Linked DNA regions of Mus musculus. The main gene of each other region encodes a partner of the protein of the gene in region 4 in a complex. Links are inferred from orthologs where the notes say so. Each region holds a gene or a part of one and is shown on either strand. Other genes may lie near its edges. The genes, in order: Lin54, Ogt, E2f4, Rbl2, Tfdp1, Mybl2 and Mybl1.

Region 1 (3,782 bases), on a different chromosome or scaffold from region 4:
TGTTGGGATTTGAACTCTGGACCTTCGGAAGAGCAGTCGGGTGCTCTTACCCACTGAGCCATCTCAGCAGCCCTAGAAGTCTTTTTTTAAGACCTGTTTTTTTCTTTTATTTGGGTACTTGCCTAATCTGTTCAAGAGTATAATCTTGAGAGCAAGAGCTTTAATCTTGAGTCTCCTGGGGTACCCTGCCCTTAGTAGCATTTATACAGTAGCAGGGTTACAGTAATAGCAGTAGTGAATTTACTACTCACATCACATGCAAAGAGCCTACACACTTAAAAGTGGCAGAGCTGGGTCTTGAACCACTGGGTCTTTTGACTTTAGAACTTACTTTTTCATTATTAGTAAGTGTGTGCATTCATGTGAGTATGTGTTCATGTGCATATATGCTCATATGTGCATGTGTATATGCATGTGTGTGCACATGTCTATATGTGACTGCTCATGTATATGTAAGTTCATGGGTGTTATGTATGTGCACATGTGTGCACATGCATGTCTGTGTGTGTGCATGTGTGGTGTGTTCACATGCATGTGTGTCAGTGTTGTGGGAGTTGGCTTTTTTCTTCAACCACGTAAATTTCAGGGATTAAATTCTGTGCACTTGCTGAGTGAGCCATCTTCCCAGCTCAAGAACTCAGACTCTTAGCCTTTTTGCCCTGCTGTCTTTTTTAAATACCTAGTTGTTCCAGCATGATCTTTTTTCTAGCGTAAAGAAAAACACAGAAAGTAAAAGTAGTAGCACAGAATGGTGTGCTTAGCTGAACTTGTAAATGCAGTGCATTTGTTTTCGGTTTTGTATGCGGCTCTGAGCACAGGTTGAGGGATTTCAGTGGGAAGCTTTGAGCCTGCAGATAGTCCCTCCCCTGGGGGGTTTCTCACCTCAGATTCATATTGCTGGGGGGAATAACAACTGTGACAGGTAACTACTCCCTTTTGTTGTTGGTGGTGTTTTTCTTTATTGTTGTTGTTGTTTTGGTTTGGTTTTTATTGTAGCCTGGGCAGGCCTGGAACTCATTATGTAAGTCAGGCTGGCCTCCCAACTCACAGAGATCCATGGATCTTGCCTCTGCCTCTCAAGAAAGGTAACTAACTGTCTTTGATTAAAGATGCGCAAAGTGAGAATCAGGTGGGATGCTCTAAGCTGGTTCCTAAGCATAGCTTGAAGGATAAGGATTCTTAAGTGTTTTCAGTACTGTTTTTTGTAAATATTATTATTTATTTTTTTTTAAAGCAAAACCAGTGGTTGTTAATACCACCCCTGTACGGATGTCAGTTCCATTTGTCCAAGCTCAGGCCGTTAAGCAAGTGAGTATTGTGTAGCTTCTCCATTTTTTTTTCCCAAAGGGCAATTTACTTTTTAGTTATAAGAAGCTGGGCATGGTGACACATTCATTTAATCCCAGCACTTGGGAAGCAGAGACAGGCAGATCTCTGAGTCAGACTTGGCCAGCCTGGTCTACAGAGCCAGTTTCAGGACAGCCAAGGCCATCTAGAGAAACTCTGTTTTGAAAAGCTAGAAAATAATTTGTATACTGGATTAAGCTCCCATAAAATTAATGGTTTGTATTATTTAGTCACAAATTTTCTTTTTTTTTTTTTAAGGTTGTTCCAAAACCAATCAATTCAACTTCACAAATTGTAACTACCAGCCAGCCACAGCAGCGGCTCATCATGCCTGCCACACCACTGCCTCAGATCCAGCCCAACCTCACTAACCTGCCACCAGGTACTGTGCTGGCACCAGCTCCAGGAACAGGGAATGTGGGCTATGCAGTGCTTCCAGCTCAGTATGTTACTCAGGTACGTGGGGGTGAAGGGCCTATGCTTTGGAGCTGCTGTTTGCCCTTAGAGTGTCTAACTCTACCACGTTCTAAGTACAATATAAACATCAGCTCTGTATTAAAATGGCTCTTTCTAAAGTGTTATATTAATTGAACATCTGAATTTATTTTTGTTTAGAATTTAGAGATATGTAGCAGAAATAAGATTTAAAAGTTGGGTAGTTTGGAATAGTTTGGTGATAGGGCAAGACTATAGATAAGCATTTTACAAAGTTGACATTAAAAATCAGAATCCCGGTGATTTTAGGAAAGACTGTGCACACACTAACGTTCATCTGCACACACAGATATGATGCTACTGGCTTGTGCTGGAAAGTAGTTTGTAAGGTACATTTCTTGGGGACTTTTTGAGACAGGATGACACTTTAGTATAGGGCAGCATGGAGCTGACCATGCCTCTGCCTTGGGGGCTGGAAGGGTGAGCGAGAACCACGGCTCTCAGCCAGGGGACCACGATGCTTCCTGAGTTCACATAGCAGTGCAGAGTGGATAGGAGCTGTGTGTGGGCCCGGTGCATTTCTCACTTGAGAGATGTTATTTTGGTATTGGAGGATGTTCACCTAGAATTTCCTATAACCCTGACATTGTCCTTTGTGAGGTAGTCTTTTTATATCTGTACCATTCAATGCTGTTAGACATTCATGCTATTTCACTAGTGTTGGTTGAGGTCTTTAAAAACACGCCATCAAGTTTATATGAAATTCCCCATTGCTTTTTATCTTTGGGTAGTCATGCTTCTTACATATTGTTATGTCTGAGAGTGCTATCAATTTTGCAAATATTAACTTATTTTTTTTTCCTAATAGTTACAGCAGTCTTCATATGTGTCTATAGCAAGCAACTCTAATTTTACTGGAACATCTGGCATCCAGACACAGGCAAGGCTTCCATTCAATGGGTGAGTATTTTGAAAATATGTAAATTGAATTATTAAGTCAGTTTAAGTGCAGCATTAAATAGATTTATTTGAAATATATTCCATTTGTTTTTCCCTTTAAAGCTGTGCATTTGTCTAAAGCACTCTATTTTGAGATAGTTGAAATGGACAAGTTTAGAGACCATCAGCAATGGATTCCCTCCTGTCCTTTGCCAGCTTTTCTGTGTTTCTCCGCTCGCTGTGAATGTTTGTAAAACGGTGTTTAGTGCTGTTCTTCACGTGTTGAGTGTTGGCTCCATGTTATTGTTTGGCAGCTCTTGGCTGCCTTTGCTCTGTTGGTCTGTGACCCGTGCTGAGTTAACCAGCCCATTTGGTCCCACTGCCCGTTCTTCGCGCACCTCCTCCTCCTTCCTTCTCTCTTCGTGATGAAACCCCAGGAGCTTTTATAGCTTTTCAGCTTCAGTTCTCTCAGAGAGAAGAGGATGTGTGATGTATTCCTAGCAATTGCTGATAATATTTTTTAAAATGTAAAGGAGACATTCTAATAAAGTTTTGCCAGAAGTGGAAGCATCTATTAATGTTTTATGTTAGGCAGAATTTATAGATTGGAGGTTGTTTTACTAGTTTTAAGTAACTAATTGATTTTTTTTGTGTGTGTGTGTATGTGTGTCTGGACAGCATAATTCCATCAGAGTCTACCAGTCGGCCCAGAAAACCCTGTAACTGTACAAAATCACTGTGTTTGAAATTGTGAGTAGTTTATTACTGTCTGCTTATTTGATGCAACTACACATGTTCTTACAATTAAATGAAGCTAGTTGGGCATGGAAGTACAAGCCCAGTGGTTGTCACACTTGAAAATAGAGTCCAGAGGATGCTCTGCTCCACAGTGAGCTGGAGGTTGCCTGAGTCATGGGGGGTGGGGGTGGGGCCCTGGAGGTTGTCTGAACCACGGGGGGTGGGTGTGGGGCTGGAGGTAGATAGATGCTAGCGCTAAGAATTCCTAACAGATACATTTAATTAAGTCTAAATAATTTAAATAAATCTACATGTAAATGGGT
Region 2 (3,782 bases), on a different chromosome or scaffold from region 4:
CATGTCTAAAGGTATATTTCTTTACTTGTCACCCATGTGAATAATAGAACCTACAGCAAATTAAATTCTCCCATAGGTTTCAACTTTAATTCATCACAAAATTTACAGAGTAAAGAACAGAGCCAAACACAGAAATAAAGACAACTAACCAGAAGGGCATGGTAGCACCTACCACAATCTCAGAACTTATAGAGGGCTGAAGCAAAAGGAACACTACAGAAGGCCAACCTGGTCTACATTGTGTATTTCAGGCCAGACAGGGTTAGGAGCATAGTAAGTCTCTGCCTCAATGCTCCCCCTGCCACCCTACAAAAGAATGAAACAACAAAGCTGGGGGCTGGTGAGATGGCTCAGTGGGTAAGAGCACCCGACTGCTCTTCCGAAGGTCCGAAGTTCAAATCCCAGCAACCACATGGTGGCTCACAACCACCCGTAATGAGATCTGATGCCCTCTTCTGGTGTATCTGAAGACAACTACAGTGTACTTACATATAATAAATAAATAAATCTTTAAAAAAAAAAAAAAAAAAAAGAAACAACAAAGCTGGGCGGTAGTGGCGCACGCCTTTAATCCCAGCACTCAGGAGGCAGAGGCAGGAGGATTTCTGAGTTCGAGGCCAGCCTGGTCTATAAAGTGAGTTCCAGGACAGCCAGGGCTATACAGAAAAACCAAAAGAAAAAAGAAAAAAAAAAGAAAAAAAAGAAAGAAACAACAACAACACACAAACATTCTCAGAAATAGGTAAGGCAACTTTCTACTACTGTGTTGTTTTATTTTTAATGAGATGGGGGCCTCACATAGCCTTTGCTTTCTTTGAAAGAAATCCTCATCTTCTTAACACCCAAGATGTATTTCCTTTTTAAACTATTTATTCTTTTATTTATTCAGTAGGGTTTTGTTTTTGTTTTGTTTTGTTTGTTTTTTCCTAGACAGGGTTTCTCTATATATAAAACTAAAAATCTTTTAGGGGAAAAAAAAAATGGAAGGATCAGAACGATCACAGTTTTACCTGAGAAAGATCAATGAAATGATTGGCTTCCGCCATCACCTTCACTCGAAAGTTTGTACCATCATCCGGGCTCAAGGCATAGCAGAATACCTGAAAGGCAGGGAGGGGACAGTGTGCTCAATAACCTTTGCTCCAACCTTCTCAAAAGGAAGTGAAGTTAATGCTGAAGATGACAGGGTAAAGCCACCAAAAAACCCATTCTTACCTCAAACTTATCAGGATTATGCATGCCTGGAATAGACTGCATAAGGTGTGAAGTAGGGTGATTCCCGAAGTCAGAACTCACATAGCCTACACGCAATCGGCCATCACTGAGCTTCAAGTCTTTTGGATGTTCATATGGTGGTTTATGAAGGACATTAATCTAGCAGCAGAATAAATGGTCATTAGGAAAATCAAGTCATGTGTAAATGTTTTATCTAAAAAACCGTTAGAACTGAGACTGGTGATGAAGCGCAGTTGGTAGTGCGCTTTGCCTAGCACATATAAAGTCCTAGTGGTTCTGATGCCAGAACCACATGAAAAGCAGGCATATGGTATCCCAACCCTCAGGAGGCTGAGGCATATGGATCGCTGAGCCTACACACTGGGTTACCAGCCATCCAGTATCATGTAGTGAGACAAAACAACAACGACAAAAACTACATGAGCATGTTGGTGCACCCCTGAGACCCTGTAATTGTGAGGTAGAAATATAAAGGATCTGAGGTTCGAGGTGATCCTCAGAGAATTTAAAGCTAACCTGGCATACATGAAACCTATCCCAAACAAAGCTAAAACAAATGATGACAAATCTAAAATTGGAGAGCTGGGGAGCTGTCTCAGCTGTTAAGAGCACTGATTGCTCTTCCAGAGGTCCTGAGTTCAATTCCCAGCAACCATATGGTGGCTCACAACCATCTGTAATGGGATCCGATGCCCTCTTCTGGCCTATAGATGTATTTTATATGCAGCAGAGCACTCAGAAATTAAACATTAAAACAACCATATAAACCCACACCTATGAAAAAAACTTTGGATAGCAAACTTCATTTAGTTCATGTGGCCAGTTTGATGTCACCTTAGCAGTTTAGGTCAGCAGTTCTGTGGCAGCTGCACAGTGTGCATGCTTCATACATAACCTGTACTGAGACCTATGAAACAGCCTGAACAGATCTCACAGTTCTAGGAAGAAAGAAATGTGAATGGAGTAGGAAAACCCTTACCGTATTTTAGGAAATTCTGTGGAGAAGCATTTTTTGGGGGGGGGAGAGGAAGGAGGGAGGGAGAAAGAAGGAAAGAGGGAGGAGGGAGAGGGGGGGGGGGAAAGAGACAGAGAATCTACCACTGTTTCCTTCCTGGAGCAGGTTCTAAACTCTAAACTTCTAAAGTCGTGTTCTAATTCTCACATGCTCTATTTAAGCACCATGTAGGACTTTTGTTGTCCTTGCCTTTAGCTTGCCTTTTTTTTTCCTCCCTGAGACAGGTTTTCTCTGTGTAGCCCTGGCTGTCCTGGAACTCACTTTGTAGACCAGGCTGGCCTCGAACTCAGAAATCCTCCTGCCTCCGCCTCCCGAGTGCTGGGAATAAAGGCGTGCGCCACCACACCTGGCTTCTTAGCTTGCTTTTTAGATGGGAAGTTTCTGCTTGGTTGTGGTTTGGAGGCAGGAGCTATGTATGCTATGTAGCCTAGGCTGGCCTCAATTCACCATCCTCTGCCTCTAAGTTTTGAGATTACAGAAGTACTGGGATAGGTTTGTGCCACTATGCCTAGCCTAAATTTCCACCTTAAAGGAAAACACTACCATTAGAAACGAAGAACTGCGCTGCAGTCAGGCCACAGTGAAGCCACAGTGAAGAGTAGCTTCAAGGGCAGCTAAGACAGTTTCATTTCTAGCTGGTAAAGCCATACATTTAATTTATACAATGTTTTTCTCTATCTGCATTTTAGTTTATAACAAAAAGATTAAAACAGGAGTCACCTTATCCAAGCAGAGATTCCCATGCCTCTCTGCAATAGCCTTCCTGAAGCCATGGGAAAGAGGGTACAGCATGCTATGGTGAGGATGGACAGAAGGCAGTCTATTCTTCTCTAGCTGCTCAGCTACAATACTAACCAATTTCTTCATCCGCTCATCATAGTCTGTCCAATCACAGACAATCTAGAGGAAGCAAAAAGAAATTATCACCCAAAAAACCTACCCAAAGATTTATTTTACAAGTATTTGAGCTCCTAGAGTAGTATTAGGCAATCTCCTACAAGCATGGTCTTGCGGCTGGCTCGCTGAGAAAAGGCGTACCTTGCGTACCTGACAACGAGTCCAATGCCTAGGACCCAGGTGCTAAAAGAAATGACTCCTAAAAGCTGCCCTATGACTGCCAGTTGCCCCAAAAAAATAAAAATAAAATAAAAAATAAAAATGAAAACACTGTCTTGTCTCTAAACAGGCCTAGATTATTATGACACACAATTAAAAAATGGTGACGTTGCAGAAAGAAAAATAATGGACCATTTATTCTTTACCTGTAGGCAATGAGCCAAGTTACAATAAGCATCAGGAAAGTCAGGCTTAAGTTTCAGAGCTGTGCGGTAAGAAGCTATTGCTTCTGGGATATTCCCTGAATCCTGGAAAGAAAACGAACTTGTAAGGAGTTTCTTACAATGATAGGTCAGTGCTAAGGTACCCCATATTTGAATAAACAACAGTACCTTGTGAATGGAGGCCAGATTGCTGTGTGCATCAGCAAAGGCAGGATTAATCTGGATGGCACGAGTATAACACTGCAAAGCGC
Region 3 (2,886 bases), about 14 Mb from region 4:
ACAACCCAGAAGCGAGAGGCGGAGTTTGGACAGTCCCATTGACCTGGTCTAGCTGGATAAGCTGTGGGATGGCGTCAGACATCTGAACAGCAATCTTCACCACATTCCGCGGGGGCGCCATAGTCCAGCCGCGGTGGCCGCTGGCACTTGGCACTAATGTGCCACCTCCCGCCGAGAGTGCACCCGGTCTAGGGTCTAGGACTTGTAGCCTGCACTCACAGCCCAGGTTCCCACTCCTGATCGGGCTCCGAGGCCTTCCCAAAGGAGCCTGTTAGTTCCGGGTTAATCTCAGGGGTAGGAGGGTAAGACCCCGCCTGCCCTGCCCTGCTCCGCCCCGTAGAGGCCTGCCTGGCCCCGCCCCACACCAAGGTGCAGCAGGTAGAGGCTGTGGCAGCAGGCTTCCTACACAGCAGCCACACCTCCCATTCCAGTAAGGTGACCCACCCAGTCTCAGCAACAATCCAGCGTCCCAGGTAGGGGCCCCAAAGAACCAGATCAGAGATAGCCTTAGGCATGTCTTTATTCACTTGAATGCTGTACAAATATTACATTTCCTTTTGTTGAAAAAAGTATAAAAATAATCTTTATATAGGAATTCATTCGTTACTGTAAATCTTTCTAAATCTCTGCAATGGCTCTAAATGAGGGTAAGTGAATAAGTGGAAGTGAAGGGAGATGGGGGTGGGTGGGCAGGAGCTGGAGCCATTCTTAGGTACCAACCCTCCCAGACTCCTAGCTAGACACAGCAATTCCTTATTAACCCCCTCCACCATGACTGCCCAGAGATCCCAGGACTCTCAGGGAGCATCCGAGATGTCCAGAGGCTGCAGGGTGAGCAGGTGGGAAAGGAAAGGTGATGGTAGGCAACCACCCAGCACCACCCTCTCTCTGAACCTCCTTCATAGTGACTGGTAGGAACAAGGCAGAGGTGCCACTGAGGGGCAGCTGAGCCTGGCTGGGGAAGGCTCCATGTAGAGAGGGCTAAGCTCTCTGCCCAGCTATGCTAGCACAGTCACAAGTGCCAGTGCAAGACAGGAGAGCACAGCCCGAACTGAGCGACCAGAAAAGGCTGAGTAAGCCAAGAGTTGGGCTCTTGGGGTTAGGGTGGGGGTGGGGGGCAGTCCCTAGTTGGCTCCAGGCCCAGACAGTCTGGGTTGCAGCTGCACAGGACATGTCCCTGTCAGTCAGAGTTTGAGAACAGGAACATCAAAGAGATCACAGACACCTTCACTCTCGTCCAGGTTGTAGATGTAATCGTGGTCTCCGGGAGGTGGAGAAAGTCGGAGGAGGGGGGCAAACACTGCAGAAAGCATTAGGCTGAGGTCTTAGGCCAAGACCCCCAGCAGTCACCCACCCCCTTGCTCACAGCTACCCTTATCTTCCTGGGCTACCCACCTTCTGAAGACATCAGTTCTTCCAGCAGCTCGGAGCTCATGCACTCTGGGAATGAACACAATTCATTCAGATTCTGGCTCTTGCGCCTCCACCCACCAAAGCCCAGGAATGAGACCCCCACACAGGCCCATTAGGAACCTCACCCTTTTTCTGGGATACCCAGCAGATACCCTTAGAAGGGAACCCAGAACTCAAACTATGCTCCTTATGCCCTGCATCCAATCAAAAGGAGGAACACCGCCTACCTCTCGTGGGGTCGAAGATTTCTGACAGCTCTTTGGGGAGATCCAGAACTGAAAGAGAAGAAAGCCAAGCTCACAGGAAGCTCAGCTGAGTTCTACTATAGTTCAGCTTGCTTCACGTCGTACACCACTAGGCTCCAGGGCTCTACACATTCCTCAGGTTTTTATCCGCTGACCTACATTCTTCGATGCTGAGCCAAGGCTACCAAAGGTCTAGTGCAGGTGACACATCCAGCTATTCTCAGAGGCACTGTAGAACCCCCTTTCTGAGCCAGCAGTGCACATCTTGTCTTACACAAGATGGATGCCCTGTCTCACAACCACGTCTAATTCCAGCTCCAGGGGAATCCAACACTGCCCGTACACAACACAGCATTTACACATTTACACACACACACACACACACACACACACACACACACACACACACACGAAATGTTTTAAAGTTTCGGGGGGGGGGGGTAGACGACAATGAAATAAGGCATCAGGCACAAATGCTTGTCTGGAACACTGACATCCTAATGCCAATCCCTGGAACATCTTGGGGGCAGGAATGCACATGCATCACTCTCCATCCCCAGCGCTTCCTGTCGTTGCTGGCGACATGTCCTCATTCATGCTTAGCAAGCACTTTACCACTGAGCTGTATTTAAACACTGAGAAATACCAATCAGGACTGCATTGCTGAGTCATTCCATTTCTGAGAATAAAGAAAAGGATGGCTGGGCGGTGGTGGTGCACGCCTTTAATCCCAGCACTTGGGAGGCAGAGGCAGGCGGATTTCTGAGTTTGAGGCCAGCATGGTCTACAAAGTGAGTTCCAGGACAGCCAGAGCTACACAGAGAAACCCTGTCTTGAAAAAAAATCCACAAAAAAAAAAAAAGAAAGAAAGAAAGAAAGAAAAGGATGGTTTAATGGGTTAACAGGCAATAGACCATGCACGATATAATACCAACCTACCTGGCAATGTGGCAATGTGCCTCCTGGTACAGTAGTGGCGTAACTTATGAGGGCAACCAACCCCTTTCCTTGTCTTTAAGGCCAGCTCCACAGGAAGTAATTCCTACCAGACTGATACTGTAAACCTTGTCAAACACCATGGCTAGAGAGATTGTTGACCCTAGGGGGAACTTACTGCTGTTGCTTTGTTAAATGCACACATTACCAAACTGCCTCCTCAATTTTTATGCTTCTTTGTTGCTTAGAGAAAATGGCAGGAGTCAATGCAGAAACTCATAACTGATAAACT
Region 4 (4,475 bases):
ATAGAACAGCCTCAAGTGTTATTTCCCAGGCCCCTCTCTTTTTCAGATCCTGCCTCTCACTGGCCAGCAAGTGAGACTCTCCTCAGGACTCCACCAGCTTATGTTCTCCCCCCCCCCCGCCCCCCTCCACCCCCCCCCACCCCTCCACCTCCCCACACACCTCCACGCCCCCCCCACCCCACCCCCCGCTGCTGAGATTACAAGCCAACCCTCCATTCCTGGCTTTTAACACCTGCTCCCGCAACACATGTGAGTTATACAGGTTGATCTCAGGTGAGGGATTTTTTTTTTGCCACTGAGAATCTCCCCAGCCCTTTTCAATCAATGTGTTTATCTCCACTAGATTCTCTTCACCACTTAAGCCCATGCAATGTGCCTTAAAAGTTTCTTTTCCGTGAGCAAATTCTTTGAAATTCCCTTCATATCTAAGCTTAGTTAGAGATTCGGTAGCTTTAACACCTCAAATCATAAATATAGGAAAGTTTCAAGCCCGGGGACAAAAGGCTGAGGTGCCTATTTAACATATCAAAGAGGACCTGGCTGCTCTGTTCTCCTGGTAGCCCTCAACCTCTACCTGTTACCATAGCCAGCCCCCTACCCAAAACTCTCCAGCTCAAGGGGTGGGCTGTGCTTTCCTATATAATCCAGACATTTTAGTTTCTAGCTCGGTGTACCTTTGGGCCTTCTAGCTGCTGCACCTGGTTCCCCTCTCTCCCCTCTCTCCCTTCACCTCCCGCGCCCCCTCCCCGCACTCTCCTCCCTCAGGTGGCTCAGGGTCATGTCCACTCTGGACTCACTCAGATGTCCCTGCTCTACGCTCTTCCTTTTATCTGTAAGAAACTTTAGCCGTATCTAGGAGCAGTTATGTGATAGCTAATATACATTTTAAGTTATTCTTGAAAACACATTCATGATTATTTGTGTGATTGAGGGTTGAGGGTTGAGGGTTTTTTATTTTGTTTTTGTTTGGTGAAGTGAGATCAATTCTTAGCTCAATATACCTTTGCCATTGATAGCGTTGACATAGGAGTGTCACTTGAGGAATCCTCTCTGTTGGATTGACCTGTGGGTCTTGCCTAGGGAGGTGGCGGCCGCGGGGGTGGCGTTGTATTAAGAAAGTAGCTGATAAAGCAACGGGGAGCTAAGTCAGTAAGCAGCGTCCTGCTTTAACCTCCGTCAATGATGAACTGTAAAGACTAAAATGAAATAAGCCCTTTCCTCTCCGAGTTGGTTACAGTCCGTGTTTATCTCAGCAACAGAGACTAGAAAGGGCAGGCAAACTATTATCTTTACTTTGGACCTTTTAGCTTTACTATCTGAGGACCTCTAGGTGAGGATGTGTGTAAAGGGCTTATATACTAAATCCTGTCGATATTTCTTGGTCTTTTTCTCTTCAAACGAGCCTTCTGAATGGTCTCACTATTGAGAGATGCTTTTTAAAACGGTAGAGGACGTGTCCATTCACCCCTAAATGATGCACAGCTCGTTTTTTGCTTTCTTCTTCCATGACTTTTGGTCTCCCTGAGATCCCGGCCGAGACTACATTTCCCAGCAGGCCGTGCTCAGACCTACGGGTGCCCGCATGGGACTGAGGAACTTTGGGGGCGGCACAGTAGCAGGACAGGCTGCTGACGGGCCGGCGCTTCGCGGTTTGAATGGCTGCGGGCCCGGGCCCTGAGCGCATCTGAAGAGCCGCGGCCTCGGGGTGCGCCATGGCATCTGGAGGCAACCAGTCGCCACCGCCTCCTCCAGCTGCTGCAGCCAGCTCGGAGGAAGAGGAGGAGGATGGCGACGCCGCGGATCGCGCGCAGCCCGCGGGGTCCCCGAGCCATCAGATCCAGCAGCGGTTCGAGGAGCTGTGCAGCCGCCTCAACATGGACGAGGCGGCGCGCGCCGAGGCCTGGAGCAGCTACCGCAGCATGAGCGAGAGCTACACGCTGGAGGTGCGTGCTCAGATCCTCCGTGGAGATCGGGGACTCGGGGTGGCCCTAGGATCACTTGGTCGTTTGCCCCGCACCATTGCCTCCCCCTGGCTTTGCGGCCGTCAGAGGAAACTCATTAAGTTTCAGGCTTGCTTACGTGTGAGAATGGCTTAGGATTTATTGTCCCCCACCCCCCGGGCAGATGAAAAGCGGGTGTAGACACACAACATTTGTTGCTGAACTTGGGCACTCTTTTTGGCTGTCATCCAGGTGTAGGCTTGTTATGTTCCGTTCTTGGGACGGGGCTTTGCAGTTGACGAAAATGGCTATTCGGGCTAGTGCCTGTCAACTCTGCAGGCACCTCCCCTGTATGGGCCAATGGGAAGTGACACGGAAGTCCGGATTGTTTTTCAGCTGCCTGTGCGTATGACCCTTTGATTTTATATATGGAAGCTTATCGAAGTAGCAGAGCAAAGAGGCCCCCGACCCGAAGGCTAAGCAAGGTGTTATTTAACTATGATATGGATGTACTTGTGCCATTCTTCTGAGTCGGTTTATTTCTATTTTTTTAAAAATCGACACACATCGAATTCCCCTCTCTCCATTTGTTACACTCACAAAAAAAAGAAACATGGCAGCTTTAGACCTGTGTCTGAGTGACTCTGGACAAGTTTTTAACCACAGTGAAACTCAGTTATGTTGTGTGAGCAGTTTTGTTACTTGTGCCCACTTCAAAGTGCTTACCTAAAGCTTAACTAAAGCAATGTGTGTATGTGTGCAGAAAATTTCCTAGACTGAAGCAGTCTGGCTGAAGAGACCGTAGCCGCCTTCCTTACCCAGTGTTTCCGATAGCCAGGCAAAGAGGAGAACTTCTGGTTTGAAGGACACAAATACTCCCAAACGAATTCTTACTTCACCTTAGAGATGACGCTGTAAATTAGCAAGAATGAGTATTATAACATAGCAGAGACTTCAAATCACAGACTAAGTCATATGAAGCCTGGTGTCACATATGCAAGTGGCATTTAACAGATGCTTAGTAAATTAGTGTGTGTGTGTGTGTGTGTGTGTGTGTGTGTGTGTGTGTGTGTGTGTGTTGGTCAGAGGACGGCTTTGGGGAGTCAGTCTATCTTTTCACCCGTGGATCACTGCAAGTCTGTTAAATCTGTTGGTCAGCTAGTGCCTTTACCTGCTCAGCCTTGCCAGCTCGACTAGTAAATCGTTTTGAAAACATAGTCACTATTTCTTGTTTGGCTGAGGCGTTCTATTTATTTGTTTGTTTATTATTTATGTCTTATTTGGATTGGTTAGTGAGGTTTTAATCTCGATTCTTAGCCCAGTTGACCCTTGCCATAGCTTCAGTTGTCAACTTGACACACCTGGGAATGGGGAGGCCTCATCTGAGGAGTCACCTCCATCAGATGGATGGTGGGCATGCCTGTGGGGCATGGAGGTGGGCATGCCTGTGGGGCATGCTCTATCATCAGATGGACGGTGGGCATGCTCTATCATCAGATGGATGGTGGGCATGCCTGTGGGGCATGCTCTTAGTTGCTAATTGATGTCGCCCACAGTGGGCTATGCTGCCCCTCCTGGTCCTGGACTGTATAAGGGAGGCCTCATTAGCTGTTTCAGCTCTTGCCTCCCAGTTCCTGCCTGGAGCTCCCAATGATAGCCTGTAACCCTTTCCTCCCCAAGTTGCTTTTAGTCATGGTGTCTATCTTAGCACATCTAGGACAGCCCTATACTGGCACGAATACTTGTTCATTTTGGAGTATTTCCTGAGCCCCTATCTCTTGCCATAGGTTTTCTAGGTACTGGGAAGAAAGCAGTGGGTGAAACCTAAAACTCCCTGATGCATGAGTTTCCGGTCAGGAATACTGGAGAATAAGTAATGTAGACCAGCAGTTGTCTGAAAACATACAGAGGAAATAAAGCACACTTGATCATTAATACTTACCATCTGCTTTAGAATTCTCTCAACTGTTTTCCTGAAATCGATTTGAAAATTTTATTTTATGCAAATAAATGCTTTGCCCACATGTATGACTATGTACCAAAATGCAGGCTTGGAACCTAAAGAGGTCAGAAGAGGGTGTCAGAGCCCCTGGATCTGGCATTATTCGGTGAAGTGCCACCACATGGGTACTGGGAACGAAAACAGAGACCTCTGGGAGAGCAGTCACTGCTCTTAACCACTGAGCCATCTCTCCAGCCCCATATTCTGAATTCTTGTAGTTTATTTAATTCTCACTGTTGTCAATGAAGAAAATGAAACCTCTGGACTTAAGTAGTTTGCCCATGGTGAGCTCTCTAATATGTGGCCAAGGCAGATCTACTTGAGTTCCATGGCCATGGACTGTGAATTAGAAATATCTCTTCTCCCCACTTCCACCCATTTTTTTTTTGTTTGTTTGTTTGGGTTTGGTTTGGGTTTTTTGGGGGGGAGCGAAGGAGGGGAGTTATATGAGACAGGGTGTCATCTAGTACAGCCTGGCCTTGAACTTGCTGAGGGTGTAGCTGAGAATAACCTTGAACGTCAGATCCTCAAGC
Region 5 (4,529 bases), about 78 Mb from region 4:
AGGGCTTGCTAGGCAGGGAGTGCCAGCACCGACCTTGGGAGAAGACGCCCAAACCAAGCCCCTCTAGCTTTCAAGGCAGGGTGATCATGGCTCACCCTGGCCACATGCTCTTCCCACACTCGGACAGTCTACAGTACCACAGGAAAGCACTGCAGGTGCGCCCCAGAGTATCTGCAGGCACTCACCCCCACTCCACTGCTCCGTGCCAGCTCCTGCCATCCCCATCCTGTCCACTGACAACTGCCTGCCCGGCTTCACAGCCCCGGTTCACAGTGAGCCCAACTTACCTGCTGGTCTGCCTGGGCACCAGCAGGGGCAGAAAAACCCTAAGTTATTTGTCTTCTGTCTGCCCTTCCTGCCCCTCTTCTGTGACCTCAAGCGTGACTTTTGTCTGTTCTCACCAGTGTCATGGCCTTCAGAGCCACATGTCTACAGGACCCTTTACAACCAGATTTCACTTAAGCATCAAGTGCTTAGAACACTTCAATGGTGCCTCTTTCTTTCCCTTCAGCATAAGTTACAAAGTCCCTTTCCGAACCCAAACATCACATCCTACTTAAAAACACAGTTGGCTACAGAGAAGACCCAACCCTTGACTGTCTGCAAGAAAACAGGGAGCGCCACTTCACCTCTGCCTATGTCTGTGCGCACTTGTTGGGGGACTAAGCTGCAGCATTCTGATACCCAGTCACAGCACTGGCCTAGCCACACCACAATGGCTAACCCCAAACCGGCAGCCGGACAGGAGCTCCTGACCACTTGCCTCCCCAGGGGACACTGCACACAGGAGTGTATAATGACAAACTAAGATGACTGGGCTTGAGTATGCTGACTCAGTGAAACTACACCATGCCATGTGGCCTCACAAAGGCACGGGAGCCAGCACCCCGTTTACACCCATTCACCAAATCTAGCTACTTTGTAGGCATGCGCTGGGTGGCATGTCTCTCATTAGGGCACTCGTGGGGACGGAGTCAGGACATGGATGTACATAGACAACAGATATAACGAGATCAAGCCAGTGCCATATGTAGTTGTGACTTCAGGTGACCTACACAAGGTCTCTCAGGGTGAGACATGACCCCCCCCCCCCCCCGGCCCCCAGGAGCAGGTCCGGTGCTCGATGACCAGAAGAGGGTCTGTTCCATGCGGGCCAGTCAGGACAGGACTCCGCACCTGCACCACGGTTCCGCTACACCTGGGCACAACTCTAGCTGATGCGGCATGTCTGCCTGCATTTCCAGGGCTGCACAGAAAAGGCATGAATCTAACAGTCACAGAACAGTGGACACTGAGGAACACTGGAACGGACACGATCAGTGTTGGAGGGAGTTAAAGCAATACTGCAAAAATGTATGTATGTGACCAACAATACAGACTGTATTTACAGCCTTAAAACCTAATTGTCCATACCTGTTTCCCAAAAAAACTTCAAAACGCTCGGTAGCTTCGTGATAAATATGAAGCTAAACCAACCAGCATTTCCACGGTGTTTCATTAATCACCAAATGTCATCTTTCTGAGAAAAATGTGCCCAAACAAGTAGTTGGGATTCAATCCATCAAAGCTGGATTACGGTCTTACGTACTACATAAAACTAGTACAGTGTAAGTTCCATGTTGACAGCTCTCCTGTGTGGAAACCCACTAACAAACAACACCCTCTCACACACTCATAACTGAGAGATGTATTAATTTTTTTATTTTATTTAAGCAGTTTAGATAAAGAAAAAAAAATCAAGACATCATCATCAAACCACGAAAAAAAAAACAAAAAAGAAAAAAAAAACGTGTCACGCTTCGGATGACAAAGACCATTTGTGCAGAGGGGAGACACCCACCTAACGACTCTCGCCATCATCCCTCATCTCCATCCCAGCTCCTGCCTGTAAAATGTCTTGGCCAACCCACTGCCACACACGTATGGCCACTCTCAAATAAAGGGAGAAAACTGCAACGAGCTGTGCCAACATGTCTGCAGCATGCAGCGACCATACTTACATCTTTTGCCATGTTACCAGATCCAGGAAATCAAGGCTTTAACTGCGTACCCTCCACAGAAGAAACCGTACTTATCTGGTTAAAAAAAAAAAAAAAAGAAAGAAAGAAAGAAAAGAAAAAAAGGGAGGGGATGAATAATGAATGAGAATGAGAAGAAATTTAACGCACATCGCATTTCAAAGGAAACATCTCCCCACCAGCACGAGGCAGAGGCAGGCCTCCAGGCAGCAGGGGCCTTTCTTGCACAATCCCGACAGGAGAGCTAGCCAAGCAGGTCCCACACGGGGATTTTAAGTCACCTCTCTAAATGGAAATGCTCCCTGCGGGCACCAGCAGCTCCCACCGGCAGCGGGGCCAGACCCCGGACCCTTGGCTGAGCGACGCGCAGCCGTCAGGCTCACCCCACCTGGGCACGCGGGCCCCGCCTGACCACAGGCCCCGCCGAGGCACAAGGCCCCCCACTTGGGCACACGACACTGCGTGGCTCCGCCCGGGCCGCGGCGGGCACCCCCCACCCCGGGCTGCCCAAGACCCCGAGGGGCCGCCGACCACTCTGACAGGTGGGCTCCCGGCCGCCCGCCCGCTCGCCCCACCTGTCACTAGGCCCAGCCACCAGCCCCGCGCCCTGGCGCGGACAGAGCCGGAGGGTGGCCAGGACCCCTGCCCGCCGCCCACGCCACGCCGCGTCGAGGCCGACTCCAGCTGAGGCTGGGCGGCGGGCGGGATGCGACCGGACGCGGGAACCGGGCTGGGGCGGGAACGGGGCCGCGCGCCCAGCCTGCGCCCTCCCGCCGCGACCGGCCGGTGCCCCCGCCACACCTGGCTGGCCGGCGGGGCGCGCGGGGCGGACGACGGGGGCGCGGAGGCGCCGGCCCGGAGGTCCGGCCCTGGCGGTCCCTGCCCTGAGCCAGCGGCGCCGGGACGCGGGCTCACCCTGGGCCGAGCGTCGGGCCGGCGTGACGTGCGCGCGGCGCGGTGACGTGGGCGGCGGCGGGCCCGCTGCGCGCAGCGCGCCTGCGCGCCTTTTCGCGCCTTCGGCGCCCTCCTCCTCCTCCTCCTCCTCCCGCCGCTCATCTCCCGCGCCTCTCGCCGGTGCTACCCGCCCTGGGAGAGGGGCGGGGCCTGCGCGCGCGTGCGCGTGCGGCGGGACCCGGCTGGAGACCGCCGACGCCGAACAGCGCTGCGCGCGTCTCCATGTGCGCTCGGAGAGAGGCCACGTGTGTGCGCGCCTCTGTGTGTGTGTGTGTGTGTGTGTGTGTGTGTGTGTGTGTGTGTGTGTATGTGTGTGTGTGTGTACACCAAGGGCCAACTGTATGCATATCTGTGTGCATGCGCAGGGAGTAGAGGGCCACGTGTTTGGCTCTGTGTGTGCGCGTGTACCACGCGCGCCAACGGTGAAAAGAATGTGGTGTGTGCCATACCTGCATGCACACGTAGGGAAAGGATCATGTGTGTGCACACCTGTGGATATGCAGAGTCTGACTGTATACACGTGTGTGTACATGGAGTATCAGTCGTGTGTGCACGCCTGAACATATATACAGAAGAGAACCCTCTGTGCAAACATATGGAAACCTATGTTAATGTCTGCGCACTGAAAAAAAGCAGGCGTGTGTGTACACATGAGAAAAAAGAGGTCAGTTCTGAGAGTGCTTTAAAGTACCTGCATGTGCACACAGGGAGAAGAATCTTGTTCATTTACACAGAACAAAGTAAAGACTGTTCGGATGCATACTGAACAATACAGAGACAAGATCCCCCACCTCTGCTCAACTACTGACCTCCACAGCCACATGCCCTGAGCCTGGGCTGTCAGTGATTCAGGGCAGGAAACAGCCTGTTAATCAGGTGTGTATGCATTTGCGCCTTTCACTTCAGAAACCTTCTGCTTCATCCCAAGAGGGGTCTGGTAGACCCTGAGCCTTGAAGACTCAGTCCATCTTAGAGGCCACTTCTTTAAGACTAAAGCTGGAGAGCCTGGGAGGAGAATAGGCTGGGGCTCACAAATCAGTCCAAATGGTTCAGATAAAATGACACAACGTTTCCCAAGAATATGGGACTGAAGAGCAGGGCAAAGTTAAGTACTATCAGAAAACTGTTAATGTGAGTGACCGGATTTTATTCTGGAGGAAAGGTCAATTTGACTCCCAAACTGACAGATCTTTCTCCGTTACCTGGCTGCCTCAGTCCCATGACTCAGCCCAACAGCCCTTCTTTAGCATCTGGCCGAACTGTCCGCCAGCAGCTGTCCTGTTTGAACACTGCTCAGCGGCTTTGAGGAAGCAGCCCTGCAACCACAGCTGCTTATTGCTGAAGCAGAAGAGGCGATACCCAGGCATGAGTGTGTCAATAGCTTGCACCAGAAATACCCAAGGCATGAGTGTGTCAATAGCTTGCACCAGAAATACCCAAGGCATGAGTGTGTCAATAGCTTGCACCAGAAATACCCAAGGCATGAGTGTGTCAATAGCTTGCACTAGACTCTTTGCCATCACAAGCTCTGGTAAGCTCTAGTAGCAGTTTTCACCC
Region 6 (3,782 bases), on a different chromosome or scaffold from region 4:
AGCTGAATGGGACACCGGTCTGCCTCTTGGCTGGCTGTAGTGTGACCAGCTGCTTTCAGCTCCTGTCATTGTGAGTTCCTCGCCTTGGTGGCCTATACCTTGGACCTGAAGCCAGAATAAGGCTGTCCTTCACTTCAGAGTTACTACTGACCTTAGCCAGCCCCGCTCCCAGCCCCACAGCCTCCTCCTTCTCCATGTGACCACTCGTCTGGACCCGCAGCCTAGAGTGTTAGCTCCAAGGGGGCAGGGCCAGCTCTGGGTTTGCTCACTGCGGGCACCTGAGCACCGGGCACAGGGAGATAATCGGTGAACACTGATTATCCAGTGTGTACCTGTGCCGGGCCCTCGCTGGGCACGAGATATTTATGTATGGAAGCGGAGGTAGGCAGAGGTGCCCACACACCTGGGAAGGAGAGAAGGGGAGGGTTTTGACAGGCGTGCTCTTCGGGGTGAGGCTGTTACAAGAGTCCAGGAAGGACAGGCTGGCACTGTTCTCTGTGACAGGCGACAGGGCCACACGCCGTTTCTTCTGTCGCTTGAGCACTGAGGGAGGTGTGCCAATGCCTGAGCCCCCAAACTCAGTGCTAGGAGAAATGGGGATCAGCTCCCCCCGACTGCTCCGGCTCAGGTCTGAAATAGTGTGGCCATCAAGGCGGTACTCAGTCACACTGGGCCCCGGCGTGGCAGCCTGCTGGGATGACTGCAGTGCCTCCTCCTGCTGCTGCTGCGACGTCTGGGGCTGCACTGGGCTGCTGACGACACTGCCCTCCGTAGAGGGTTCTTCAGGAAGGTCAAATTTACTCAGGTCGCACCAAGCATCAGGGTCCTGCCAGAGAGGGAGGTTAAAGGTCCTCCTAACACAGCAGAACTTAAGTGACCAGTGTCAAGTTCGGTCCCTTATCCACTTAGTCACTACTGTTAACTACTGTCTACATCCATTTCTTCAGTGTTCTACATATACGGAAACTTGAATGGGATGCTTGCCCATCAGCAGCTTTACAGTCCCCATAGCAACCGGCTGGGAAAACATGGCTTTGCTGGTTTATGGTTCATTACATACGTTTATGTGCTAGTGTAAGGAGTTAGGTCTCTCCTAGCTCGTGGGTCCTGAGGATTGGATTTAGATGGCCAGGCTTGGTGATAGGCACCTCTCTCTATCCCCTGAGCCGTCTCACTAGCTCCTTTGCTCACTTTCACATCAAGGAACCCACGCTAACTAAGCCCCTAAGAACAAACAGGAACCACATGTCCTCTGTCTTTACCCAAAGCTTTCTAGAAACAGAAGCTTCCATTTTGATCCTGGAGACGCTGCCCTAAGTAGATCCAGAGCCCGGTTGTGAGTTGTGGTTGTGGGGACTTGCCGGAGCCAGGGGCAGCTTATTCCTACTAAGTGGAAACTAGCTGGCAGCTGGGCTGACCCCAGAGCTCAGAGGTCTTGGAGACAGAAGGCATCTTGGTGGTAGGGAGCATGTCCTGCAGCAATGCCTGGGGAGGCGGCTGGGGAGGGTAGAGGGCAGGTTTTGTGCATCTTTCCCTGATCTTCCCCTTGGAAGAGTTAGACATAAGGACACCTGAAGGTCACACCAAAAGGAGTGGCTCCACCCACAGGCTCTCAGGCAAAGTCACTGTTTAGCTATTTTCTCGGAAATGACACATTCCCTCCTAGAGGAAAGTTACAAGAGCCATAAGGCCCCTCCCCAGGGTTATAAAGCAATAAATAACTGCTGGTGAAAAAGAGATTCTGCCCCCAGGTTTCATGTATGTTGGGCTGTAAGCTCCAGGGAGACTGCCTTTAGGAGTCTGTCACTCTTCTTCTGGTCATGCAGGAATCTTCCTGTCACCCACAATCCTGCTGGTATCTCCAAGGATTTCATTAGTCTGCCATGTTAGACCTGTGCGCAATTGCTTCCTTCATCTGTCCTCAGTACAGGTCTGGGGTAAACAGGTGTGTATTTGTCTCCTCAGGAAAAGCCGCACAGGGAGCACGGCCCACGGCAGCAAGCATGGCCTTGGCTGAGCAGCCAAACCCTCTTGTTGCTCCAGAGCAACCATGACTCCTGGCCCTTGGCGGCGCCTCTCCAGTGAGATCTAACCCTGTAATACCAATTCGGCCCATCTCTGGGAAGCCTTCTCACCCACTCCATGCTGGAGGGTAAATATTGTAATGACCTAGCTGGTGTCCCCAGCCTGCTCAGAGCTGGGCAGCCCCCATCATTCAATAAATGGTAGGTTGGGGAAGGGGCAGTTCACAAGAGAAGTGTTACCTGCTGTGTACCTGCTGGGATCAACATACCGACTCAATCAAGTCCAGAGCTTCAGAGAGGCTGGACCCCACAGCCGGGATGAGGAGGTTTGCCGCCTCTACCACCCACTTGTAGGGCAGGCTCGTTTCCGGGGAGGAGAACTCCTGGTATTCACGCTTGAGAGATTCTGGGGGCTCTGGGGTGCGCACTTCTCCCAGATCAGCAGGGACAGGCTCATGTCCGAGTTCTTTAGCAGAAGTAGCAGCTATGGCAATCTCCTCCTCGCTGCTCTCCTCCTTCACAATAGAGGGCACCAGCGGCCAGCTGCTCACGAGACTTCCCTGTAGAATACAAGGGCACACTGTAGATTTTTGTTGAAATATTGACCGTGCTGCAGCTTGTAGCTAAAAACACATAACCCAAATCAAGCATCAAAGGAACTCACAGGGACAGAAATTGAGAGACATTTCAACTGTACTGAGCACTTCAAAACATATTAGTATCATGACAGAGGCCAATGAGGCTGATGCATAAATGACACTGTCATTAACTAAATGGAACACAGACTATAGACGAGACAGAGGCCCTGGAATCAATGCTGGCCACAGCAGCACTTGTCTGCTGCCCCAGAAGTTGCGTGGTAAACCCCACAGCAGTGTGGGCTAAAAATTGCTCAGCAAGTAAAGGTGCTTGCAGCTGGGCTGATAACCTGAGTTTGGTCCATAAGCCCCATCTGGCAGAAGACACTCTGTTCCGACTTCCACATGTGTGTGTTTGCACTCATGCATGTGTGCGCAAGCGCAAACACACACATTTTTTAAAAAATGTCTTTTAAAGCAAGCAAGCAAACAAACAAAAACGAATCATTATCTCCACAAGGTTCAGGATCAATGTGGAAGTCCCTGGTTTAGAAATAAACACATCAGGAGCATATCTTAGAAAATACAAGCCAAATCAGGAAGGCCAGCCTGGTCTACAAAGTGAGTTCCAGGACAGCCAGAGCTATACAGAGAAACCCTGTCTCGAAAAACAAAACAAAACAAAATGCAGTCAAGTCTTGATTTTCCTTTTCCTTTTGTCTTTGTTGACCAGCTTCTGCCTCTGGGGTGATGGGGCTAAGGGCATGGGCCCCAGCACCCGGCCAAGATAAAGTAAACAGGACACACAGAAGCAATGCAGTAAGTAGGCATAGATCAGGCAAATGGTTAACTGAGCTGAGCCCTGGGGTTGCAGGCCTGTGGGAGGGAGCAAGGGCAAGCAAGGCCCTTTAGAAATGGGATGGAGACTCCATGCACGCTCCCTGAAACTCTTCAGGGTGCTCAGTATAGAATCTGAAAACACAACATACTTTATCCCAAAGCTGTGACAGAAATCAAGGACACTGCCAGAAGTGAGGAGACCTCTGGGGAATTAGGACGAAGAGACATACACCCCTTTACTCTCTTCCCCCTCTCTTTCCACACCTATGTCATACCCCTACATAGCTGCGTTTGTCAGCAGGGGGCCAAACCCATCTCTAGCAGGTGGAACAAGAAGCCA
Region 7 (3,782 bases), on a different chromosome or scaffold from region 4:
AGAATATTATATTTTTAAACAATGAGTTCATCAGCTCCCTTTTTGCCCAAGGTTCTTTTTATAAAGATGAACCTAAAGCTATTTGTAGTATAAATTTCATTCTGCATAAAATATACACTTACTAGAAACCCACTCTGTTAAAGCACTAAGTGAGGTTCTACACAGAGTAAAAAGGTGCATAAAATACTGAATATATCAGAAGTTCACAGCCCAGGGATAGTAACTTGGACAAAAGAAAATATAATACTGCATCTTAATTTCCTATGAAACAAAGCATTAATGTTTCCTTTACATATTTCTAAAGTATACAAAGATTAAGGAATGCATATAAAAGCATATTAGTTACTATAAGTACTACATAGAGACTATAGCTATGAAGCATGAGGATATGTATTCTGAGTTAAGATATGAAATTGCCTAAGATAAGATCTGCAGTCCTAGTGGCTGTCAGAAGGTGTCTGAACAGTACAGTGGAGAATGCACTTAGTCACTGCTTCAGAGGAGAATACTACACTTCAGCTACATGGGCTTTCATATTCTACTCCCACAGCTTAAGAGCTAAGTTTCCGTAACATGCATTCACAAGAATTTACTTCAATCAAAGTACTTGTAGTCCCCTGGCCTTGTGCACAGTATGTGAAAGAGATCTCTAATTTAGATATCACTCCACCAGCTGTACAAGTTCTGCCTTACCAGCAATAACACATAAACATGACTTGTGGAGTAGATGAAATGTTTGCAAAGCTTAAAGGTTTTACCATTTTATTGTACAAATTATATTCTTTACCACAAAATTACAAATGTACCCAAATGGTTGCTCATAGCATGCAGACTAAACTTGAATTGTGAATAATAGAAAGGAAATACTTGAAAATATATTCAATAGTAAGGTAGTCAAGGTCATGTTGAAGCACAGAAACTTATTTATGTAAGCACCTTCCAGGAAGTAACTTAGCAATCTCGGCCCAACGGTTTCCCAGGCGCTTGTGTGCTTCATATATGATCCTGTCTTCTTCTTCTGTCCAGGAAGACTTCTTCACTTCAGGGTTCAGGTGATTGTGCCATCTTTCTCTGCACTGCTTGCCTATTCTTCCTTTTAAATGTTTTGCAATTAAAGACCACCTTTTTGGCCCATATTTCTGAACTAATTCAATAACCTAAGAAGCAAAATCAAAGATTGAAAAACTATTACTATGAAAGAATTTTAAAATGTAACTCAAACAAGTCAAGGTTGGGGTCATTACGGAACATTTTGGTTTTTCTTTTATTCCCAATACAAGGTCCTAGGTTTGATCTGAAGCACCTCAACAACAACAACAAAAAGAGAAAAAAAACTCCAAATTAAGAATTCTACTTAAGGCGTGGTGGCCAGCCTGGTCTACAGAGTGAGTTCCAGGACAGCCAAGGCTACACAGAGAAACCCTGTCTCAAAAGACCAAAAAAAGAAAACATGGATTAAATTTCAGCTATAACTATAATTCACAGAAGGTAATGTTAATAATAGCTATCCTTCAGCACTCAACGAGTTCAAAAATCAATACCCAAAATGCATCAAAAAGTTCAAGGGGCTAATTACTCATAGATAATTATTCTGAAGTAATTTGAAGTAACTGAAGTAACATTTGTACATTTGTCCTATATTTTGTTTGCTTTTAGTTTAACTAAAATTTAAAGAACAGTTCATCTCCTTGGCCCACCTACTTCGCTGCTACTCTGACCCAGTCAAGTATCACATGAATCACAAAGAATTATGCTCACTCTGTATTGGTAGATTAATTAAGTTTAACATCTATCACAATTTTCTTGAAATGTGTCTACTTGTCATATTTTTAAAAAATAAGACTTAAAGGTTAAATGTACAGCTTTGATTATTTGATTACAGCTTTTTGGTTTTTCTTTTTTGCCCAGTACTAGGTATGTTTAACAAGTGTTCTACCATGAATTATATTCCCAGCCCTTTTCTTCATTTCGATTTTTAAACAGGGTCTCACTAAGTTACCCAGGTAGGCCTTAAACTTGCCATGAATGTCCTATCTAGACCTACTGAGTAGCTAGAATTATAGACAATGTACTAGATCCAGCCATTAAATATCTTTTTAACAGAGCTCACATTGTATTTTACTTAATCATTTTTATTATTATTATTTGCATGTTTATGATTTGTAAGTATGAGTGTTAGACAAATACAAACCACAGTGACTATGTAGAAGACAGAAGACAACTGTCCTCTTCACTAGCCCCAGATCACATTTTCAAAACTTATCATCGCCCATTAAGAAAAGTCAGATCAGTCCTGAGCCACATGAAGTAACTTTTGTTTGTTTGCTCTTATGGGTATAAGGATGTCCTAATTCCACAGGCACCTTAGCAACAGGAAAGCTAAGGGTAAGAATTAAAGAGCAATTCCTAGTAGAGAGCAGATGCTTCTATTCTTCAACAACTTTTATTGCACAAATAATTGGTTTTTATTACAACCCCTCTGGAAACATGATGTCCTGATACTTGTCTAATCATGAGATTCATTACGGTCAAGAGGAAAAATTAAGAGTGATTTCCTAATATATCAAGTTATTAAATATGAAAATAAAATTAAAATTTATTTTTAATGTTAATTAAATTTTGATAGGAAACTATGCCTGACATGTTGCTAAGCCAAACTTTAAAGTATTTTTCCTTTTGTAAATGAAGCTCTCAAAAAGGACAGTACTTATTATAAATTGTCTCACTTATCCTTGCCCTAGGAGAGAAAAAGCTACATTTCAAGGCATTCAACATTCAATTCTTATGCTTATAGCCTCCAAAGAACAGAACCAACAAACTTAAAGTGTGCACTGGGGAAAATGGTTCAGTTACTGAAGTGCTTTCCTTGCAAGCATGAAAACCTGAATTCCATACCCAGAAACAACATTTTTAAAAGCCAGGCATAATGGCATATACATGCAATCCCAGCAATGGGGCAGATCCATAATGCTCACAGGCCCACCAACCTACTCCTACTTGGCAACCTTAAGACCAATGAGAGCCCCCATGTCATAAAAATAAATCCCGAATGATACTGTCTTAAGAAACACCACCAGTCCTCCAGCCTCCTCACATATGTTTGCAATACATGTATGTCCACCTCCAACCTTAGCATACACACACACACACACACACATATCATACTTTGTGTTAAACCATGTTAATAAGAAAATTAATCTAATCCATCAGTACAGTGAACATAAAGAATATGAACAAGGAGCAAGGAATGGCTCCATGGCACTTGGCATTAAACCTGATGACCAAGTTTGATCTCTAAGACCCACACAGTGGGTGGAAGGAGAGAACTAGTTCCCACAAATTATCCTTTGACCTCTACATGTGAGCTGTGGCATAAGGATAAACACACATACATGTCCCCAAACATATATACACAAATAAATAATAAATTTTTTCAAAAGAATATGAATATATTACCCTCTGATCTTCTTCCTTAGTCCAAGGACCCTTTATCAATTCTGGATTTAAAACCTTCTGCCATCGATGTTGGCACTGAAAATCAGAACGATTCTGAAAAAATTTGGACAATTTTATTGTTGACTATATATCTCCAGGAAGTAAATTAGCCCAAATTTAAGTATACCCATATGAACAAATATTAGTCAAAAAAATATTCAATATCAAACTATTATATGCAATGCTTATTTTACATGCCTAAAATCCCAATTCTGCTCTTTCAATTAATCATAGGTTTAGGCTACAAATTAAAAACAACATATTTGAAATTAAGACATGTACCTCTA

Evidence for each region.
Region 1: Rbl2 (region 4) and Lin54 share a complex: the UniProt entries of both Homo sapiens proteins name them as parts of the DREAM complex. The link is inferred for Mus musculus from reciprocal best matches to the Homo sapiens genes RBL2 and LIN54.
Region 2: the proteins of Rbl2 (region 4) and Ogt are in contact, whole or in part, in a crystal structure (PDB 4XI9), measured with the Homo sapiens proteins. The link is inferred for Mus musculus from reciprocal best matches to the Homo sapiens genes RBL2 and OGT. Residues at the interface, in NP_001310537.1 of Homo sapiens: Thr417, Pro418, Val419, Ser420, Thr421, Ala422; in NP_858058.1 of Homo sapiens: His506, His508, His509, Asn567, His568, Pro569, Tyr642, Thr643, Lys644, Gln849, Phe878, Val905, Ala906.
Region 3: Rbl2 (region 4) and E2f4 share a complex: the UniProt entries of both Homo sapiens proteins name them as parts of the DREAM complex. The link is inferred for Mus musculus from reciprocal best matches to the Homo sapiens genes RBL2 and E2F4.
Region 5: Rbl2 (region 4) and Tfdp1 share a complex: the UniProt entries of both Homo sapiens proteins name them as parts of the DREAM complex. The link is inferred for Mus musculus from reciprocal best matches to the Homo sapiens genes RBL2 and TFDP1.
Region 6: Rbl2 (region 4) and Mybl2 share a complex: the UniProt entries of both Homo sapiens proteins name them as parts of the DREAM complex. The link is inferred for Mus musculus from reciprocal best matches to the Homo sapiens genes RBL2 and MYBL2.
Region 7: Rbl2 (region 4) and Mybl1 share a complex: the UniProt entries of both Homo sapiens proteins name them as parts of the DREAM complex. The link is inferred for Mus musculus from reciprocal best matches to the Homo sapiens genes RBL2 and MYBL1.

Annotation. Positions count from the first base shown.
Region 1 is NC_000071.6:100,451,961-100,455,742, reverse strand, and holds part of Lin54 (protein lin-54 homolog), read left to right. Parts: intron 1-1,234; coding exon 1,235-1,308; intron 1,309-1,605; coding exon 1,606-1,803; intron 1,804-2,650; coding exon 2,651-2,742; intron 2,743-3,399; coding exon 3,400-3,471; intron 3,472-3,782. UniProt on the Homo sapiens protein: Component of the DREAM complex, a multiprotein complex that can both act as a transcription activator or repressor depending on the context. In G0 phase, the complex binds to more than 800 promoters and is required for repression of E2F target genes.
Region 2 is NC_000086.7:101,667,349-101,671,130, reverse strand, and holds part of Ogt (UDP-N-acetylglucosamine--peptide N-acetylglucosaminyltransferase 110 kDa subunit), read right to left. Parts: coding exon 3,700-3,782; intron 3,616-3,699; coding exon 3,514-3,615; intron 3,152-3,513; coding exon 2,972-3,151; intron 1,375-2,971; coding exon 1,216-1,374; intron 1,101-1,215; coding exon 1,011-1,100; intron 1-1,010. UniProt on the Homo sapiens protein: Catalyzes the transfer of a single N-acetylglucosamine from UDP-GlcNAc to a serine or threonine residue in cytoplasmic and nuclear proteins resulting in their modification with a beta-linked N-acetylglucosamine (O-GlcNAc).
Region 3 is NC_000074.6:105,302,987-105,305,872, reverse strand, and holds the end of E2f4 (transcription factor E2F4), read right to left. Parts: intron 1,689-2,886; coding exon 1,641-1,688; intron 1,441-1,640; coding exon 1,396-1,440; intron 1,301-1,395; coding exon 1,185-1,300; 3' UTR 503-1,184; downstream 1-502. Other genes in the region: Elmo3 (engulfment and cell motility protein 3), read right to left, coding at 44-121. UniProt on the Homo sapiens protein: Transcription activator that binds DNA cooperatively with DP proteins through the E2 recognition site, 5'-TTTC[CG]CGC-3' found in the promoter region of a number of genes whose products are involved in cell cycle regulation or in DNA replication.
Region 4 is NC_000074.6:91,068,464-91,072,938, forward strand, and holds the start of Rbl2 (retinoblastoma-like protein 2), read left to right. Parts: upstream 1-1,593; 5' UTR 1,594-1,712; coding exon 1,713-1,943; intron 1,944-4,475. UniProt on the Homo sapiens protein: Key regulator of entry into cell division. Directly involved in heterochromatin formation by maintaining overall chromatin structure and, in particular, that of constitutive heterochromatin by stabilizing histone methylation.
Region 5 is NC_000074.6:13,337,211-13,341,739, reverse strand, and holds the start of Tfdp1 (transcription factor Dp-1), read right to left. Parts: upstream 2,990-4,529; 5' UTR 2,934-2,989; exon of another isoform or gene 2,820-2,933; intron 2,799-2,819; exon of another isoform or gene 2,300-2,798; intron 2,076-2,299; 5' UTR 2,013-2,075; coding exon 2,001-2,012; intron 1-2,000. UniProt on the Homo sapiens protein: Can stimulate E2F-dependent transcription.
Region 6 is NC_000068.7:163,071,426-163,075,207, reverse strand, and holds part of Mybl2 (myb-related protein B), read right to left. Parts: intron 2,585-3,782; coding exon 2,294-2,584; intron 827-2,293; coding exon 404-826; intron 1-403. UniProt on the Homo sapiens protein: Transcription factor involved in the regulation of cell survival, proliferation, and differentiation. Transactivates the expression of the CLU gene.
Region 7 is NC_000067.6:9,686,625-9,690,406, forward strand, and holds part of Mybl1 (myb-related protein A), read right to left. Parts: intron 3,550-3,782; coding exon 3,457-3,549; intron 1,158-3,456; coding exon 937-1,157; intron 1-936. UniProt on the Homo sapiens protein: Transcription factor that specifically recognizes the sequence 5'-YAAC[GT]G-3'.